Linked DNA regions of Alligator mississippiensis. The protein of the gene in region 2 interacts with the protein of the main gene of each other region in a pairwise test. Links are inferred from orthologs where the notes say so. Each region holds a gene or a part of one and is shown on either strand. Other genes may lie near its edges.

Region 1 (9,812 bases), on a different chromosome or scaffold from region 2:
AACGATTCTCGGGGAACTTTAGGTGCTTTGAAGCTTTGCAGCTCTGTTGGAGGAAATCCGTTCTATTTGCAGAAGTTTTAACGGCGTGTTGGCACAGTGAGAGCCAGCCGGTCTGCCAGTGCTTGGCTTCCCAGGGGCCTTGCCAAGCTGACTGACATTTGGCCATTGTGCTAGTTTGCAGGTGTCTCAGATCAGTGCCTTTTGGATCTGATCCAAAGACTATTTGAAGCCAATGGGAGCATTTCCATTGACTTAAATGGATTTTAAATTATAGGTGTTTTCCTCTCTAGTATAAAGAGACCCTAAGGTATGCAGAGCCTACAAAGACTGTGAAGGTGAAGGCTCTGTTTATAAGTTTGAATGTCACGGCTTTACAAAAGAACCCTGATATTAGGTGCCTTTCTTGAGATGTTGCTTGGAAGAGGTGAGATTGGCAACACAACACGTAGGTGCCGGCTGTTTCATGCAGACACTGGGAAGGTGCAGTGACAAATCAGTAGGAAGCTTTTGTTTTGCTTCTAGCCTGATGTTTTGCTGGGGAGTTTTGAATGCTTTCCTATGCCCTTGGCACTTCTTAGAGCCCTGCTTGAATCTTAGGTAAGATTTTCAACCCACGTCCCTGCGTGTAAAGGTCAGAATGCGGCATGGCTAAAATGCACGGCGACTTTGGTATAATTTGAGGCTGCCAGGAGGTGATGGAGATTTGTTCTGCCTTTTGCTCTAGCACTGCAAAGGAAGCACTAATCTGGCCAGTCCTTGCCGCCTTGCATTTCCCACAGCAAGGCCCACAGAGAAGATCCTGAGCTAGTGCAAACTAACGGTGCTGTGGAAGGCACTGGGGCTGTTGACAGCTCAGAAAAAACTAAGGTTAGATCCTCACTGGAGAAACATAGTCTGTGCGCTGAAGCTGCGTTAACCTGACGTCAGAAAGCAGTGGTGTAAAAAGTCCTAGTTTCTTCCCAGCTTTGGGCCGTGCCGCTGCAATTCTGTGACCAGGAGGGTGGTCTGTCTCGTAGGAGTTCGGCAAGAATCTCGCTCGCAAGTGAGAAGCACTTGGAGTTGGGAGGCGCTCCTCTCCTCCGGAGCTCTCCAAAAGGCAGGAAACAACCCGCTCTGGAAAGCTGTTTGCATCCCTTTCCGTGGCAGTAGAGTCTGACAAGAAGCCAGGTGCAAAGCTGTCTGGTTTGTACGGTGAGAAGGGAGCAGGGCCTGGAGTCGGCATGACGTCTGAGGCGCAGTGGTGGGGCTTTGCAGGCAGATACTTTCGAAGGGTCACAGTCCACAGTGTGTGGCACAGAGCAGTCACGGAGCAGCATTAACAGGCCACTTCTGGGACAGACTCTTGGAGGCTACGTAATGCCTGCAGTGGTGTAATGCTGCTGTGGTCGTGGGCGTCACAGTTGTTACTACAGCCGCCCGAAGACAGGCAGATGCTAATTCTCATCACTGTCTCAGATGGCTCCCACCAACACCCCAGTATTATTTCTCTCCAGCCACGCTGTCTGCCAAGGAAGCAGGCTTCGGACCTTGCTGCGCACAGAGTTGGCTGCAGTCTTTCTTTGCATGTCATCACGGAGATGTGTTACCTGGCAGCCACTCCCCTCCTTGTCACTCACCCCTACACCAGGTGATTGTATCTCCGAGAAACAATAGCGCGGCCTCCAAAAGGAAGAGCAAGAATCCTTTGTATGCTTTTAATCTATAGCGTTAAATAATTCACCAAGCCTAATTCTGGCATTTATAATGTAATAGGGCCAATGTAACCTGATGTGAGCGCCCTGGGAAATGCTTCCTGAACAATCAGGTCTCTAAGGTTGAGCTGCAGACGAGCACGTGGCAGGTTCCCACAGCCGTGGTCAGGACTGAAACTCCGGAGCAGAGGGAAGAACCACGGGAACCGTGTCAGGAAGAGAAGGCAAATGCCAGTGTTACTGGAAATGGAAACGGCTCTCAGGGATTAGCAGCTTTTGTGGGAAGCCTCCAGCCACAGGTCACGTCTGACCCTTTCTCAAGCTCAGCCATAGCTGGGACTTGACCCTCTAGCAGTCCTCTCTGCCTTTGCTGGGGGTCCTTCCCCCAGTTTTACATAATGCCCATTGTTTTGGGCTTGCAGTGAGATGACAACCAGCCCAGGACAGTGTGCGCTGCACCCATCTACATGCCATGTTTTAATCTGGGCATAGAAGCAACTCTTCCCTGCAAATGTGTCGAACCCATTTTCTCATAGCAGTTTCATGGGAATTTCTCAAGGGGTGGTCCACAAAACAGAGAATTGTTCACCTTGAGTCAGAGGAGAAGAAAACAGCCTTTTCTGATGCCCACTGTCAGTAAAGGGAAGCAAGAAAATCAGGATCTTGGTATCTAGCCACGTGTTCGACCAGAGCCTGAGAGGTCTGCCTGTACGATGAAGACATCTGTGCTGGGTTAGGAACAGCGCATCCTGCACCTGTGCAGGGCGTCGGGGAAATGGCCTGTGTGCTCCCTTCCAGTTCTGTGATTTTAGGAGATCAAATAGCTTATTTCCAGGTAGGCCACTCAGCAGCTTTTAGGTGGTGCATCTTCTGGTGCCCACTAGTCTAAGCTAGTGCTGACCAATTAATCTGCTGTGGAAGCCAGAGGCGTCCCGTCCTGCTACCAAGCCTGTAAGCCCCCAGCCCCTCCTGTCCCCTGAGCTAGTTGACCAGCTTTGATCTGTAAAACCCGCGTAGAGGGGCGACTTGACCCAGCACGTCACAAAGTAATTGTGCAAGATGTAAACTGCCCACTGATGCCATCTAGATGCTGGTGGTACTTAGTGACACTCCCATTCACCTGTCTGTTCCCAATGCTGCCTATCTTTCCTGGACACATGTGGGGACGGGGCAGATTTCCCGTTCCCTGGACACGTGTGGACGGGGACGCTCAATTATTCCACTGCTCGGGGAAAGTCCACTGGAGCGAACAAGTTCCTTCTGATGAACATAGGAGCAGAATCAGCTTAGGAGCCTCTCCCAAACCGTAGTTATTGCTACTTCCAGAAAGGCAGGCCGCTGGACCTGGGATTTCACCAGCTGTGCTCACTGGCACATTTTCTCAGGAAACAAGCACTGACTGATTTTTCCACAAACCAAACAATCTTTATTTAAAATTCCTACCTCTCCTATTGCATATCAGCTAAGCCTTGAAGCCGCTTACAAAGTTATGCCTGCAGCAACATCCCTTCTGTTGTGGAAGCAGGTGAAATCCTGCGTATTAATTAACAATTTAGTTCAAAACTTCTCCGATTGTGATAGTTAAATAAACATGACGGCCTTGGATCCCACCTGCTATTAACAATTAACAAGGTGTATCAGTTGGATGCCTTTCAGACTTGTCAAACGCTGCGCAGAGAGAAACACGCCATAGTATTTTATGGTAGCAGCCAAAACAATATTGTGACTGCGGCGTCCCGAATCATTTTTTCAGGGCGTACAGGACTCCTCCCTCTAAGGTATTGCTAGGGACTACCAGTGCAACGGCTGATTTATTTTGCTAAGAAGTGACAGATGCCTAGCGATCATTTACTGCTCATAAATCATCACTTGTTTGCTCTGCTTTAACAGAGGTATGCCGAAAGAGACCCACTCTTCCAGTCACCAGTGACTGCTTTAAGGTAGCCCAGACATGTTTAAGAGAGAAGAGAGTAAGTTCCCAGCAGTTAAACAGGGCTAGCACTATCTTCTTCACTAGCACGTATCTTCTGTCCAACGCGTTCCCTTCCAAGCAGAGCACCTGAACTGCAGAGGGGAGTTGCTTACAGCGTACAGGGGCCTGGGGAACCATTTAGAAAGGCAGAAACAAAGGAGTTAAAGCCACTGAGCTACAGCAGGATTAAAGGGAAGAGACGTCTCAAAAGCGTAACTTGGAGCTGGCTGTAAAATAGTCCCAGGGTAAATGCATGCGTGGCGCAGCGTCCGCCCAGGAGAGAGGCACTCAGAAACGCTCCATCTGCTTTCGGAGGAAAGCACTGGGCAAGCACGCAGAAACCCAAAGGGAAGTTTCCTGTCGCTCAGATTTCGATGGCTGCCCGGGAGATTTCCCGGGAAGGCTTTACGAGAGACACCTGTGCTTACCTGATTTGACCAGCATTGCTCTGTACAGTCCGGTAGCTCCAGGTGGTACCCTCACCTGGTCCTCCACTCTCTGAGACATGGGGCTGAGATCTTGGGGCTTCCCAGTGTGGCTTGGGCTGAGCGAGCTGCTCCTGTCAGTGCTGTGCGAGCCTAAGTGTGCATGACTTTTGGCTGGGTACTGCTAAGCTCTCTCACTTCTGTAAGACCTTTTCAGAGGGAGCGAGAATAAACAGCCACGTGACCTGAGCCGCTGTATAGCTGCTGCCCTCCCCTGCTGACAAGCACATTCTGCTCTAACAAAACCGTTCCGCTTGGATCTGCACTAGTGCGTTACGGGGGTGTGCGGGGAGCAGCCCATGCTGCCGGGGGGGCAGTATTAACACCTTTGCAAGAGTCCGTTGCCCAGACAGTGAGCTTCCTGGGCAGTGCTGCACGCAGAGCTTACCCCCCCACCCCCACCCCTACCCCCCATTAATTGCTCAGCTCTGGGATGCTTTTCCCCCTTGAGCAAGCAGCAGCCCAGCGTGAAGGAATGAGCTGATCCTTCTCATCTGATAAAACAGCTTCCCATGTGCCAAGCGCCGGGAACAGCAGCTTGGGCAGGAACATTCGCTGCGACTCCCACACTGCGAGCAGCTGCGCTGAGCTGACGGAGGTGCACGAATCTCTGTCTGGCTTGCAGCAAGCTCCTAAATGTGCATTGAGCAGACCTACTTAGCTTACTTAGCTGGGGGGTGGCTGTGGGGGGCCTCGGTAGAAGCCGTTGTGGCTGAGCACCTCGAGTCAGGACTGCCGTGCCGTTGTGAGCCATGATACTGCAGTAGTGTCCCAGCGTGTTGATGGAGACAGCACCTTTTCCAGCCCAGTTACTATCCACAAAGCTAATAGTGCACTGGCGCTGGAGCTAGCCCTGGGGGTGGCATCCTGGGACCTTTGACCCCCAGCTCGCTAAAGGATTGCTCCCTGAGCTGTGAGACAGCAGGAGCTCAGCTGCGAGGGGCACTGCCACCCTTGCCAGCGTACTTCACGGCTAGAAAGGCTCTGGGCTCATCCATGGGGAGAGGGGCTGGGGTAGCAGCAGGGGGTGGGATGAGTCGATAGGGACGTGCGGGTACAGGAAAAGAGGGGGGGGGACAGGAGCATCGGTGTCACACGAGCACAGACAGCAAGCCTGCCTCGGGTGAGAAAGCGAGGGCGTCTCGGAGGCTGACTCAAGGACTGTGGTCTGCTGGTGTTGCTGGATTTGGTGGAGGCCACAGCCCTGCCCTGTGCTGCTGCCCGGTTCCTCTTGCCCCCACCATGCCCTTGCCCTGCAGCTACTGCCCAGGCTTCGCCCCGTCTCCCGCTCTTCCCCTCTGGGTGTAGCGCTTGCCCTGACCTCATCCCTCAGCCTTATGCTTCTGAGGCCAGACAGTCTCCAAGCCTTGCTGCATCATTTGCCACCTGGAAAAAAAGGTGGGGGAGCCATGGAGGGCTTCCCTGCTGGGGTGGCTGTGTCACGGGCTGTCTTGGCAGTGTGGGAGCTGAATGCAGCTTGCACGTGGATCTCCAGCTTGCTGCAATTGTGGCGTAATAACCGCAGGGCTGAAGTGTTGCAGCCTGCTCTGTAGGGGCCGGGACAGAGGGCCACGCTGCGGAGGAGTCCCCAGGTCCCTCCTCCTCCAGGGGCGGTGGGGAGCTCGGCCAGCCTATTCCAGGTGGAGGCGCGTGCTGTCCTCCTCCCCTGCTCACCTGCATTGGCTGGGGCAGGGTGGGGGCCCATGGCACCAGGTCCTCAGATCGCTTGTGCTGTCTCCCGGGGCCAGTCCCCAAGCAGGACAGAGGCCTCCCTGCTCCCTTTCCCTCCCCTCATGCTGCTGTACCAAGCCCCAGTGCGTTAGCCCCACTGTTGCCCGTGGTTTCAGGCTGGTCTGAAATGCCCCCAGGCTGCCCGCTGCACGTTCTCCTCCCCACCAGTGTGGGCCCAGGTTAGCAGCTGGCTAGAAACCTGGTTCTGACCCACCCCCCCAGCGCTTTGCAGCAAGGGGCAGACTCATGCAGGTAGCCCAGCGAGACGTCACGCTGCTTGGTTGAGCTGTGCAAGCCTCGCTGGCCCAGCCTGGCTGGCCCACGTCACTCACCCGAGCTGTTGGTGACATGCTTCCCATTCCCACCATGGAGCAGAGGCTGGAGGGAATATTCTTTCTGCAATGCAAAAGAGAGAGACCTGTGGTGACCGTCCTTTTGTGTGGGAGCAGGGGATGTGCTTCCTCTCCCTCTGAGCCATCCCATGCTGTGGAAGAGCCCCTGGCCTGGCCCTGCACTGCACCCTCACTCAGGTGTTGAAGAGCTACGTGTATGCCATTGCCTAGTGGTGGTGCCTGTATGTACATGTACGTGTGCACTCACACACACGTGCACTCTTACCGTACAACAGGGCTGCATCTGAAGGGCTCTTTCTCTAGGAAACGGCCGTGTTAAAGAAGGCCATCCATTGAAGTCCCACAGTGGGGTCCTGGGACCCCTGGCACATCGGCGGACCTCCACATCTACACTAGCAGTGTGCAATGGCACAGCAAGTTGTCCACTGCCAGTCGCCTTCCCAGAGTCCCACAGCAAGTCAGTGGCCGAAGCCAAGGGTCTTGGCTCCCGGGGAATTGCACTGGCCCTCAGGCCCCTTCCCTCACTGTTAAATTGTTTGCAGTATACGGCTCCAGCATCCACTGTTAACAAAGACTCTCTGATTTAAGCTTCCGTTATACAGGTCCGCTTACTGCAAGCTCAGACCATCTGCTTAAAATGTAAACTGCCCGACAGCACAGCTGAATCCATTCCCGTGTCCGTAAGCTTTCAGGTCTCTCTCGGTGCCTTGCCGGTCCTTCCTGTATTTCCTATTACCCTGTCAAGCTACTAAGTCATCAGGACTGGATTTCTGTCGTAGACTAGCTAGACACGGGGCCAGAAGAGACCTTGGAGGTCAGTCCATTGCTGTGCCCCAAGACAGGCCAGCTGCGCCTGAACCAGTTGATCCCAGTCCTAAGCTACCTCCCAGTTACAGCGCTGTTCCTAACATCTGACCTAACACTTCTTCTTTGATCATTTTGGCTGTTCTCTTCCAGACTCTTTCCAATTGGTCCACATTTTTTTGAGACCCAAAACTTCACCAGCGCTGGGGAGAGCGGAAGGATTATTTCCCAGTCTTGCACACTCTACTCCTGCTTACATGTCCTGATGCATTGTTGGGTTTTTCTTTTTTTGCAGCAACCTGGCATTATTAACTCATTTTCAGGCTGTGATCCGCTATAACCCCCGGATCCTTTTCCGGAAAGCTTCCTTCTAGCCAGTTGCTCCCCATTTTGTATTTGTGCAGCTGACTATTCCTATGCATGGGCAGCACTTTGCGTTTGTCCATTTCTCCAGTTTGTCAGGAACATTTTCTACTCTCATCCTCTCCTCCGGTGTGCCTGCAGCCCCTCCCTGCTCAGTACATTTAATGAGCATGCTCTCCAGTCTAGGATCCAACTCGGTAATGAAAATGTGGACTGGCTGGGCACAGGAGAGACCCTGCAGACCCCACTCGACAGGTCCTTGCAGTTCAGGAGTGATCCATGGATACCTTCTAGAGGCCAGTTTGGCAACCAGCTGCAGTCCCACCTAATGGAAGTGTCCTCTTGAGCACATTTTCCTGGTTTGCTTAAGAGGATATCGTGTGAGACAGTGTCAAAAGCTTTACTAAAGTTCAGATATGTCACGGTTCCTCCTTGTCACAAGGTCTGTTACCCTGTCATAGAGCGAGCCTCAGCTTGGCTTGGCAGGACGTGCTCTTGGCACATCCATGTTGGCTGTTACTTAGCCCCTGATCACTTTCTAGCTGCTTGCAAAGAGTGTTTGATTATTGCTCCAGTATCGTTTTGGGAATTGCACTTAGCCCGTCTTCCCTTTTCCACTGTTTGTGCCCCTTGCCCGGTCACCCGGCGCCTCTCCCATTCTCCGTGCGTCTCGGAGATCACGGCTATCAGCTCTGAGGTGGCTTTGACCAGCTTCCTCAGTGCCGTGGGGAGAAGGATGTCAGACCCAGCTGATTTGGAAACGTCTGTGTTTTCTAAGCAGTCGCCAATCTCCTCCTCACCCCTCGCAGCTTCAGTCCGTGTCGCCCGTGCTGATTGCATTATTAGTCTCTGGTCACACTTTCCCTTTTTAGGGAAGCCTCAAGCAAAAAAGGCATTAAACACTTTGTCCTTCTGGCCATTCTGTGTTATGAATGGTGCCTCCTCGCTGAGTCCTTGGACTTTGTCTGTCTGCTAACATGCTTGTAGGACGGCTCCTCCTCCTGCCCTCTCCTGCCCGGTCTGTGCCTTGGCCTTTCTGCTTTTGTCTCTGCAAGCTTGTGCTTTCCCTTTCTTCTCGTTCTTAGTGCCGTGGCCTGGTGTCTGCCCAAGGAGGGATGGGTGCTGTTGCCTGCCCAGCTCTCGAGGTTATCGTTGCACAGGCCACTGGGTTTGCTGAGCTCTGGATAAGCCAGTTTGCTGGGAGTTTATCAAGGGGAGCACAGCATGGTTTTAAACGTTTCATCGAATCCCCAGGGGATAGTTGCCAAGGTGGAGAGATGTGGGACCATGAAGAAACCATTATCACTGAGCACCTGCTTTGGGTAATCGGTAGGAAAACAGTGGCATTAACATACTAAATACTTTCACAGTTTGACTGTGCCTCCGGGCCCTCAGACAGCCTCACAAGACCACGTGCCCGGATGCCGCCCGAGAGCTCGTCTCCGGCGTGAGGCCACGTGCGCCGTTCTCAGGGGCAGGGATGTGCTGGCCACCCCCGTGCGAAGGCGAGCGATCCTTTTGGGGAGTGAGAGGGACAGAAAAACCTCTGTGGAGCCAGAGCGCGGCGGGGTCTTGCCCCAGACCTGTTCGGCTAGTTCGTGGCTCGAGCCACGATTCACTCTGGCTTCTCCGCGAGTCAACGATTTCAACCTGCGCTCTTAAGTCTCCGGGATTAACAAAAAGCCTTTGTATTTCTCCAGGCTCCCTGAAGGTTACTGTGTCGGTGCCGCTGGTTGCTAGGCGCTGCTTATCTGGAGCCGCTCCTTGAGACAATGCCTGGCAGGGCTTGCAAACTCCCCAGTATCCCTGACCGAGCCGGGGGGCTCCTGCGCTGCCTGCCCCGAGACAACGTGGTACAAAGACAGCCCACCCCAGGGCACTGTCACCGCTCTCGGCTGCTTTTCTCACTTCTTCTATCCCGAATTTGAAGCCGTCACCTAGGATGACATGTTCCTTATGTTGCTTCTTGTATTGGCGCAGCTCTGCAGAGGGATGTCGTGACCCAGAGCTCTCCAGGTCCGGTACTACAATAGCGGCTCCCGGGCAGCTCGGATAGAGGGAAACAAGGCTCCCATGGAGAAGCTGCCCTGCTTTGGAGCAGCAGTGGGAATGGTTGCTGAGTATTTCCATTGTGGCAGGGCTAGAGGCCATGGCGGGATCGGGGCAGGAGCTGTGCAGACACTCCCAGCCCCAAAGACCTAAGTATTGTCATAGAGTAGGAAGAAAAAGAACGGGAAGAGAAAGGAGATGTCATTACAAGACCACACGCGGCACTGTACTGAGTCAGACCCGTGGTCTCTCTAGTTACTGTCGGGTCTCTAGCAGCGGCAGTAATTCTGGTAGGTACTTTAGAGCGAACGGATACGAACAGGGCATGGTCAGAGAGATCCACCCCTTGTCAGACCAACTTTGG
Region 2 (10,205 bases):
CCAGTAAGCCTCATCTTCTTCTTCATAAACCTTCATTAAAGCTACCATTGTGTCAGCATTTTTATGCCGCTGAAGAACCTAGCAGATAAAAGGTTTGAGAGTTAGTCTCAGCTGCAGTACTTCTGTTTCTGGGCAAAACATGACAGTCTCTCAAAGATTGCCTTTTGCATTTGTGTACATTACAACACTGGCATACTTCAGCAGAAAGAACCAATCACTTGTTGTTACATGAAATAGCCAAGACTTCCAGTTATGAGGAGATGTAGTCCAGGTATTGGCAATTATTCCCCAATAAGAAATATCACTGATGACAGTTTCTTGAGGGCACTAATTACTACATATTGCACGTGAAGAATGACTGCACAATGATGCCTTGACCACTTCTTATTGTAAAAATTCTGATAGATGTGCACAGAGGATTTTGTCCACATTATAAATATGAAGATTCACAGGGTAAGCAGAAAAGATGCACTTTGTAGGTCAAATAAGGTATTCCTTTAAAAACTAATTATTGCATTGTTCCCCTCAGGCCTACAAAATGCCTAGTAATAAGAAATGAGCTATGATAAGCAAAAATCTGACCCTAAGCATGAACACACTGACTTTCAGACCTGGACTACTTCTCCTTTGAACTTCTAGTGCAATGAGGGGCAACTTTTTTTTTTTTTTTTTTTTGCAGATATGCCACAAATTATTACTGCGCCCTCCTGAGTGCTACTCTGATCCCTACTTCCTCTTCCCAATCTGCTGCTCTTCTTTCTGCTTCTTGGCCTGTGCTTCCGCCTGATCTGTTGCTTGTCACCTGTCCCCTTCCCGATCTGCTGTGTGCCACATGCAGAGGCTGCTCATGTCACTTGTCACACTCATGCCTCAGATTGGCCACCCCTGTTCTAGAGTAACCTACAGTTATAATCCTAAAGATACATGGCATTCTTATACTACAGGAACCTAACCTAACAATACCAATTATGTGAATTTTAACCTTTATTTCTTCCATACATATTCAAACTGTCTTTTAATACATGTCTGTATCACACCTAATCCCTAGGGTCCCACTCTCATGAGGTTTTTTGTGTGTCTGCCATACAGGTTTTGAAAACTTGCACAATTTAATAGTGTGCTAGAGATTTTCACAGATTAGTCCCACACTAGACATGAGGCCATGATTTACTGATGACAGAGTTTTTTCAAATTCATCTGAGAGCAGCTAAATTCGACAGTGGTATTTGCCAGCAAACACAAATGTTGCTTTTTATGCTAATTAAGCTGAGGTAAGCTCCATGAGAAATGAGGTAGGGTCCTGAAAGGTTGTTGGTTTGGATACTGGGATTTTACGCAGAGGAGGGAAAGAAGAAATCTTTGGAAAATGCGGGCTCAACTGTGTTCCTATTGAAAACAATGGGGTGAGACCTTTGACTCTGTCTTCCCAAATGACCCTGGGGAAAAAAGGGTGCTTAGAAGCTAAGGTCTGGCTAGGACAGAATACCTACAATGCAACTTCTGTCTTCCAACTATTTTCTCACAAGCATGCTGGCCATGTCAGAAGCCAGGCCTTATACTACAGGAAGTGCTATGGCTCGCGGGGGATAGTCCCTGGAGGCTGCCCTAACTTAAGGAGAAGGCAGGATAGGTTTGCACCTTAAAGACTAATGAAAATGGAGATATCTAAGCTTTCTTAAGCAGTACCTTGCTTCATCAAATGCTCTGAGGGTCATCATAGCATCTGTTAAAAACAAGCCACAGCTTACAAAGGCTTTAGGCATCTCTGATTTCAGTAGCCTATAAGGTACAAATCTATCCTGCCTTTCCCCAACTTCAGACTCATACAGGTAACTGCCTCTCTCTGCCATAACTTAGGCAAGCCTCCCAAGGGTCACACCGCAGTGAGAAGCTTGGATTTTTTCCCCCCATTATTTGAGCCAAGTGAAAAAATGTATGTCATGAAAAAAAAACCCTTTGGTTTTCCTTTCTGGTTCTCATGCACAGTCCCAAAGCATGGGAGGGGGATGTGGTCATGCCCCTGCTGGAGAACATTTACATTTGGGGAAAGTAACAGGAGCAAAATTTTCTCCCCAAGCATGTTTTTTATTCAGCTTAGATTTTGTAAGCCACTCCCTGTGACACTTCACTTTCTAGAAGTCTAGCTCACCACTAACTATACTGCTACTACTGGTATTGCTGGTTTTTTTCCAGTGAACTTGACTTAGGAAAATAGTATTATTTCATGCTGAGTTGTCCTCCCCCCCTCTGATGGGCTGAGGTATCTGGGAAGGCAAAGCAGAATATTTTCATTTACTATATGGCTATAAAAATAGGAAGAGAATGCCCTTGTGTTTATATCAATTTTGAGTCAAAAGCTATGGGTTTTATAGTTGCCTTTGCTTCAGAATTCCTATGCAACCTTGGGGAAATAAGTGATTTTTTGTGCCTCAACTACCTTGCCTCTAAGATGCAGGTGGTTACCTCATGGGCATTACTTCATCAGCATTTGCAAAGCCTGAAGATACAAGTAATGTTGTGTCAGGAGATGCTTTAGCCATGTCTCCACATTGCCAGAACTAAGCTGTTGTAAACGTTTTCACCAAGCATGCTAAAAACCAAAGCTGATGTATGGTTCAGAAATATACTTCTAGGTGCTGCTGGTACCTTTTGCAAAAAGAAAAATTAACCCAAATCATGTTTTAATATGATGCCACACTTCTGACCCTGCTTATTCTAGCAATCCAGTTATAGTAGGCATTACAGTGCAACAACCAAACCTGAGTATCATCTCTAATAGACTTATCTTTTTCAATAGTGTTCTGGGAAAATTTTAAATCCTATTACACCCTTTAAACAATGAAATGTATCAGGTTGTGTAAAGCACTAGGCCAGTGCTGATTCTCCCCCTGCAAAAGTACAGTAGTCCTGAAACACCTCCCATCCCCTTGTTCTGAAGAAGTTAAATTGTTAAGTAGTTGTATGGATACAGCATAATTGGTCATGCCACTAATTGTTTTTAACAAAGCAATGGACTACCTGCAGCTGTGCTCTTAAAGGGGATTATTTACAAAGCAAAATACCTCAACTGCTTAACCCTCACCTAATAAGGAACAGACTCTCAACATTTCCTTTAATTAGGAAAGAATCTTTTCTTGCTTTCATTGGTCTGCTCAGGTATCAGAAGATGGCTTTTTTTTTCCCCTTAAACCAGAAATACTTTTATTGGTATAGGAAGAAAGACCTATAATGCACTTAGGCCAGAATTTTGCATTAGACAGAAAAAGATTGTTGCGCCCCCTCAAATCAAGCATTTGCCATATGTCCACAGCCAGCGAGGCATTTAAAACCCTCACCAATACAAATGCACCACTGTATTTTACATCAAAGACAGATTTCAGGGAAGAAAAGAGATTAAATTATTACAGTACTACTGATTAAGAGTGTTGTGTTATTTTGTTTTTGGCAGATGCAACACTGGATGTTCTTTCGGCATAGGTGGTTGGTATTTTTTTTTTTTTTTAGCACTCAAGTTCTGGTAGTCTTAAAGTTTCAGCTAAATACCTCAAAACATGCATGTGTACTGTCTACTTGAAATCTACTTCAACTGCATGCTACTAAGCCTGAAGAAGTCTACACTACTCAACCATGGTCACTTTGCTGTTTTTGGATAGACAAGGAATATGTGATCAGACAAACACTAACTCAGGGTTGTCCTGGCATCCTAGGGCGCCTTGAGATCCTCTCAAGGATGATTTGTGGGGAGAGGGGGCTTCTTGGCTTTTTGCAACAGAATAATTGCTCTATTTTTCAGTAGTCAAAAACAAGTATAAGCTCAGAGCTGACATTTCCTAGGGAGCCCCCACTGTAACCAGGCTGAGGAGCACTCGCTGACTGGTTGCACTTTCCTCTAGCTCCAGTGGCTGTTCTAGCTATGCCTCAACAGTGCCACCCCCTCACTGAAAGCCAGCTTGGAGAGCAGTAGTTCCCCACTAGTCCGGAGTCAGGGTAGCTCCACTAGGCTAAAAAAACCCAACCAGATAACTAGCTTGATTCACACCAGAACATTTTGTGTTACATCAAGTCTAAATCTTACAGACAACTAATCTCAATGTCCCACATTACATACAATTTTTTTGAATTAGCAATGATCCTTCTGAGGCAGAGTTAATTCAATTTGTCATTTGATGTGACTGGCTGGGCTGCATCTGGTCTTGTTGGGAGTTGTGTCTTGGCCTCCTCAGGGCCACATAAGACCAACAGTCTGTTTTTGCTGCTGCCTAGCGCAGTGTGCCTCTGAGCCACAGTCACCAAGATCACCTCAGGCCCAGCACTTCTCCCTCAGGCAAGCACCTGTGGAGCCATCTGTCTTGCTCCATTTTGCCAGGTCACTTCTAACCTGTCAGGCTGTGAAAATAGCCAGCCAGTTTGTTGTAGCCCTGATTAGGCCAGAATAGGACTTGCACCAAAATAGCTATATGGCCCACTCCTTTGCACATGAGGGGTGAAAACCAGTGTTGCCCAACGTCTCATTTGTGCCATCAAAATTTCTGTGGCAGTGCAGGCACTAAGGCAACAGGCATCGGTTCCCGTTGCTGTACTGCATGAAAGGCAAATCAGCGGTGCAACAAGGTAGGAACAGACTCTGCTGCTTTATCACCAGGGGTGCACGTTCCCCCTGCAGACTGCCCCAGCTGCTTGCACTCTCCTGCCACCCCAGGAGGTGCTCTGGGGGCCTGAGGGTTGCCTCAAGCCCTGGGAAGACCAGGCTGCGCTCCCCAGGGCGCTGAGGGTGGCACCTGGGCTGGCTGCCCCAGTCACCAGGCGGTAGTTATGCTGCTGCTGAGACCAACACAGGGAACTGCCTCTGTGCACTTTATGTGAGGCGAGTTCAGTCAGCCAGGCTCTCCCTGGGCCAGGGAAGCACAGGCAGCCCTTGCCCTGGGGAGGGGGAAAGCCCCTCCGGGCTGCAGGGAGCAGAGCAGAGACCAGGCCTGGTCCCGGCCGTGGGGGGCGCCTGGGCCTGGCTTCGGCTCCGATGGTGGCGTGGCCCGGGGGCCAGGACTTGGGCCGAGCCCCGGCCGTACCGTGCGCAGCGCCTGGGTGGCGGCGGCCAGGCGGGCCTGCAGGGCAGCGCGGCGCAGCTCGGCCAGCGGCTCGCAGTAGGCGGAGTCCGGGTCGCGGGCGAAGAGCGCGTCCAGCACCAGGCGGCGGCCGCACAGGTCCAGCGCCCGCGCCAGGTAGCGCTCGAGCCGGCGGCACAGCTCGTCCATGGCCGCCGCCTCCTCCTCGGCCGGGCCCGCGGCGAACAGCAGCGCCCACAGCCCGCGGGCGCGACCCTCCAGCAGCGCGGGCGGCAGCGGCGGGAAGCAGGGCTCCAGGCCCGCGCTCAGCGCCGCCAGCTGCCGGTGCACGCCCAGCAGCGCCCGCGCCGAGAACAGCCCGGCCCAGCTGCGCTCCGCCGCCGCCGCCGCCGCCGCCTCGCCCGGCCCCGGCCCCGGCCCCGGCCCCGGGCCGCCCCGGCCCGCGCGGCTGTGGCACGTCACGGCGAACTGGGCCTCGGCCGCGTTCCAGCCCACGAGGAAGCGCAGCGCGCCCGGCTCCGGCTCGGCGAAGGCGGCCTGGCGCACGGCCACCCACCCCTCCAGGCTGTCGGGCTGCGCCGCCGCCGCCATTGCCCCCGCGCCCCGCGGGGCGGCGGAAGGGAAAGTGACATGGCCTGGGCTGGCGGGTGTTGGGCACCGTCACCGCGGCCGAGGCTGCCCATTGGTGGCTTCACTTGGGGGGAGGAGCCAAAGAGTTACCCCCGGAAGTGACGTAAAGGTGCAGGAGGAAGGGGGCAAGAGGGAGCTGCTGCTGCAAGTGACGAGTGAGGGCAGGTGCTTGTGGACTGCGGGGGAGGGTTGTACTTGAAAGCGCAGCACTGGAGGGTTCCCCCTACACACCACTACACCCCGCCTCCACCCACACCTACAACCCCCTTCACACACACACAGCACTACACCTCCACCCACACACCCACCACTACAATCTCCTCCACACACACACACACACACACACACACAGCACTACACCTCCACCCACACTCCCACCACTACAACCCCCTCTACAAACACCCTGCCACACAGAGCACTATAACCTCCACCCCCCCTCAACCTCTTTCTACACACTCACACACAGTACTAGAACCACCCTCTGCTCCACACACACCACCACAAATCTCTAGACACACACACACACACACACACACACAGCACTACAATTCCCCTCTAGACACACCACACAGAGCACTACAATTCCCCTTTCCACACACACTGTCTCTCCCTGCCTCCCTCCCTCCCTCTCTAGCTGGTTCAGAGTCATGGGCTGCCCCAGTTGCCCTTTGCCCAGCCTTGCACTTGATCTGACACCCAGAGGTGTGAGAGGGCAGCCGGGCACCCAGGGACAGCAGGTTGCACAGGGGCACTGGCAGTGTCTGGTGGCTGCCGTGCCACCGGTGCTGTTGTGCAGCTGTGTTGGGCAGTGTTATTTTTCTGCCCTTTCCCTGCCACTGTGCTGGCACCTGGGCCAGTGGCCCCAGTCACCACGTGCTAGTTATGCTGCTGCTGCTGAGACCAACACAGGGACCTGCCTCTGTGCACTTTGTTAAACATGGTTAGTTCTCCTAGGTTTAATTCAGAAGCAGAGCATGGGAGCACAGCAAACATCTGCAGCCCCTGAGGAATTGCTTGAGCACAAATAATCCACGTAGGAAATGGAGAGGGATGGGTGCCCTTCACTTTTATGTTGAGGGGAGTTATGTGACTGGAACATTTACTGAGAAATAGTGCATGCATCCACTACTGCTTCTAATACAAATGACTGAAGCATGGCCATCCTGCTGTCCCTCATCCTCCTGCCTTCTCCTCACCCCACCCCAGGGTCCTTCAGCAGTTAGGGCACTGAGGTGCAGAAATCCACCCCTGCTGGCATCAGTGTCCAAAAAGCAAACAGAACCAAAACTTTCTCTCCAAACTGTTCCTGGGAATAGCTTTCTCTTATTGCCTGTTCTGCTCCTCGGTAGTCTTTAGCCCTTTTCTTGGTTCAGCTTCCAACCCTTCTATGTTTCAATCAGTCCCTTCTTCCCTTTGCTGGCAGGGAAGGTGAAGCATGCACCTTTGCTGCAGGGTATCACCTTGCAAGATAACTGATCCCATGGAGTCATCCCTAAAACCTGAAGAGTTGGGCTGTGTGCCTAGGCCTTGCCTCATGTGTTTATGGAATGAATAGGCCGGTAGGCAGCAGTTATGGTATGCTCTATCGTACCTTTGTAAGGCTTTATAAAGCATGTCGTTTGGCAGGTTTATCTGATGGATGGAAGACTGCTGCAAAACATACAGATGATATTTGTCATTCAGCCAGAACTTGGTGCTGCTTTTTCTGTATTTAAATACACCAGTCTGGTCTTACTGGGATGGGGCTGCTAGAAATGACAGCTTTGGGGTGAAAGGTGATGTGGATGGTGCTCAGAATGAGAAAAAGAGTGTCTGCCATCCCAGAGCATCTAGATGTTATTGACGGAATTAGTACGGAAAAGGTTAACAGTGATGATATTTATACTGCCCTCTTTAATGTTCAGTATTAAAACCCCACTGACATAAATGAAAGGAATATACCTCTGTGAGACCTACTGTCCTTGTTTACTACTTCAAAGAATCAGGCAGCTCTACACCATTTGAAGTTCTGCTCATGCTTTTCATCTTCATAATCCATTTAAAATGGGCACCCAAGTGCTAGAGACACTCATGAGGTCACAAGAAAAGTCCCTGCATCCACAACTCATCATTTAGAGGAAAACAAACTGAAGGGAGGAAGAAATAAAAATCAAAGGAGGAAAAGAAAGAAGCAGAACCTTTTCCCTTTTGTCCAGTGAAACAGAATACAGCTTGTCAAAGTTGTTATAACTACACTGGCCCTTCCAGCTGTTCAAGATTCATACAGACACCGAGATGGATGAATAGTGAAGGAATTTCACCAGTTTGTCCAACTGCAAGTTATCTGCAATGTTCTTAAATACATTCAATTTCTGTGATTAATGCTTGCTCATGGCTTCTTTGCAAGCAGATCAGTGCCAGGGTTCGAGTTAAGATGTCAGTGTTGTTGACTGGACATTACCTAAAAATGCTATTGTAATCTCTATTGTTATTATTATTATGATTTATGCAATGTCTTTTAATGGGATTAATCAGTGCAAAGTCATTTTCTCTTGATAAGACATTTCACTTATCTAGTCAGCCATTTTCTCTGCATTTAGCCATTTTCTCTGCTATTTTCAGCTTCCAGGTATTTGCAAGGTGCATATATTGATATTAATATAAATAAACATATTTAATACCATGAACCCAGATCTTGTAGAGATGGAGCAGCTTGTGTGTCCCATTGTTCCTCAGAGCTAGGTCTTGCACTTTTGGCAGGGTCACCCATGGTGAACAGGCCTGACGGGAGGTTTCAGATAAACTACAGTCCAACCCCAAGTACTCAACAGCAGATCAGGCAGAAGATGATGACAGGATCTCAATGGCTGTAAAGATAGACGTCTCCTGTCATCTAGGATTCTCCTTGGCCACTGCATCCAGATCTCTACCTTGTTAACGTTACCTGGTTGTTTTCTCACATCAGCTCCCTCCTATTAAATGCAGTCAATGCAGGCTTCTACTACAGGATGATGATGACACATTGCTTGCCTGAACCATAATATTTTCTAGAATCTGATCTTGCTGTCCACTAAACTCAATAAAGAATAAAGAATTTAACATACCATATTTAACATTAGCTGGTTCAGTGCTACTGTTTGTGTTTGTGTATCTGAATTTGTTTGGCAAAATCTAGGTTCCTAATGTAAGGTAAGAGATTTTTGCTTGCTCTTGAACTGTAATCTTAGAAATATGTCTAGATTCAGTGACAAGACATCTCAGATTACTTTAATAACAGTTCAGAGAACAAAGAGGTTCTCTATTTTTAAGGGGGAGTTGTATAATAGTTTAAAGTACTTCAAGCCTGGGAATGCCTGAGAACTTTCAAAGCAGGTTTTCAGCATATGACATTCTCTCTGGAGACATTTAAGTAGCATAAAGCTGAAGGACAGCTGGGGCAGGGCTATATTTGTGCCTTTGCTCATTGATGGTATGTTACTATTTGAGGGAAGAGGCTGCTAGAATTACTGCAATAAGTCTGCAGCCACAGGAAACTGGCAGCAAATTGCCATCTTGTTGATTAGTTTTTAGTAGGAGAAATAAAAGGGAAGTTTGGTGTCATCGGGGCCATAAGAAGAATTTATGGATTCTTAAGATAGAAGGCAAGTTTTTAGGTAGTAACAATTCTTTGTTATGTGCTTTAGATGATTGAAGTTTGTGAACTTTAAACATACTGCACCATAATTGTATCTGTGTTGTGAGTTGAGCAAACCACAAACTTCAGAAAGTTTTGTTTAGGCTAAAGGGTTCCAAACACTTTTAAATATACTTGTTATAATTGCCATAATTGAATTACAATTTGCTAGACAAAATATTTGGGTTTTTTTTCCTGGTTTTATAGTAGATAATTTATATTTTGAAAACCAGCTCTGTATTGTTACCGTGAAAATTTTTGCAGGAGTCAGACAATATTTCACAGTATATTTCAAGACTATTTTCATTTTTTATATTTTAATATTGCATGATATAGTTTATTATCTGTGGCATATTTACTATTTTTACTTGTTATACATTTTTTGTCTATCATAAAATGTGTTTTTGCTAGATTCCACGTTTAGTAATTGGAGAAAACAAACTGCAAACTTTATGTTTATATACAAATCCACAAGGCATGATTGTGTTCTCAGTCATGCATAACACTGGAAAATGGAATGTTTTCCCCGAATTTCTCACTAGTTCATTCCTTCAGAGCCAGCATCATTTGCCTTTTAATAAGTCACTGATGTGGTTGGCTGATTGGTTTCTTAGAAATTAACTATTATTCCCTGAAATATGTTCCAACAGGTAAAAAATATAAAAGCAGAGAAAAATATTTTAATAAGACTTTGTTAGTCAATCAGGTCTCAAGAAGATTAATAAAATCATAAAAAATAAATGCAAGGGGTTAGGATCCCATGGAAACTGGAAATCAAAGCTATAGTTAAAAATGGCTTTACTAAACTTGATGTCTGACAATTCTGGCTGCTTTAGTGAAGTGAAGAAACACAGACTGCT

Evidence for each region. The genes of interacting proteins can lie anywhere in the genome.
Region 1: the proteins of FSD2 (region 2) and FAM107A interact in binary tests that used the Homo sapiens proteins (3 or more experiments, as listed by UniProt). The two-hybrid records come from large-scale screens. The link is inferred for Alligator mississippiensis from reciprocal best matches to the Homo sapiens genes FSD2 and FAM107A.

What each region holds. Positions count from the first base shown.
Region 1 is NC_081835.1:942,948-952,759, forward strand, and holds the start of FAM107A (actin-associated protein FAM107A), read right to left. Parts: upstream 4,328-9,812; 5' UTR 4,171-4,327; coding exon 4,092-4,170; intron 1-4,091. UniProt on the Homo sapiens protein: Stress-inducible actin-binding protein that plays a role in synaptic and cognitive functions by modulating actin filamentous (F-actin) dynamics. Mediates polymerization of globular actin to F-actin. Also binds to, stabilizes and bundles F-actin.
Region 2 is NC_081834.1:18,308,768-18,318,972, forward strand, and holds the start of FSD2 (fibronectin type III and SPRY domain-containing protein 2), read left to right. Parts: upstream 1-5,696; 5' UTR 5,697-5,848; intron 5,849-10,205. Other genes in the region: WHAMM (WASP homolog-associated protein with actin, membranes and microtubules), read right to left, coding at 1-78, 5,067-5,654.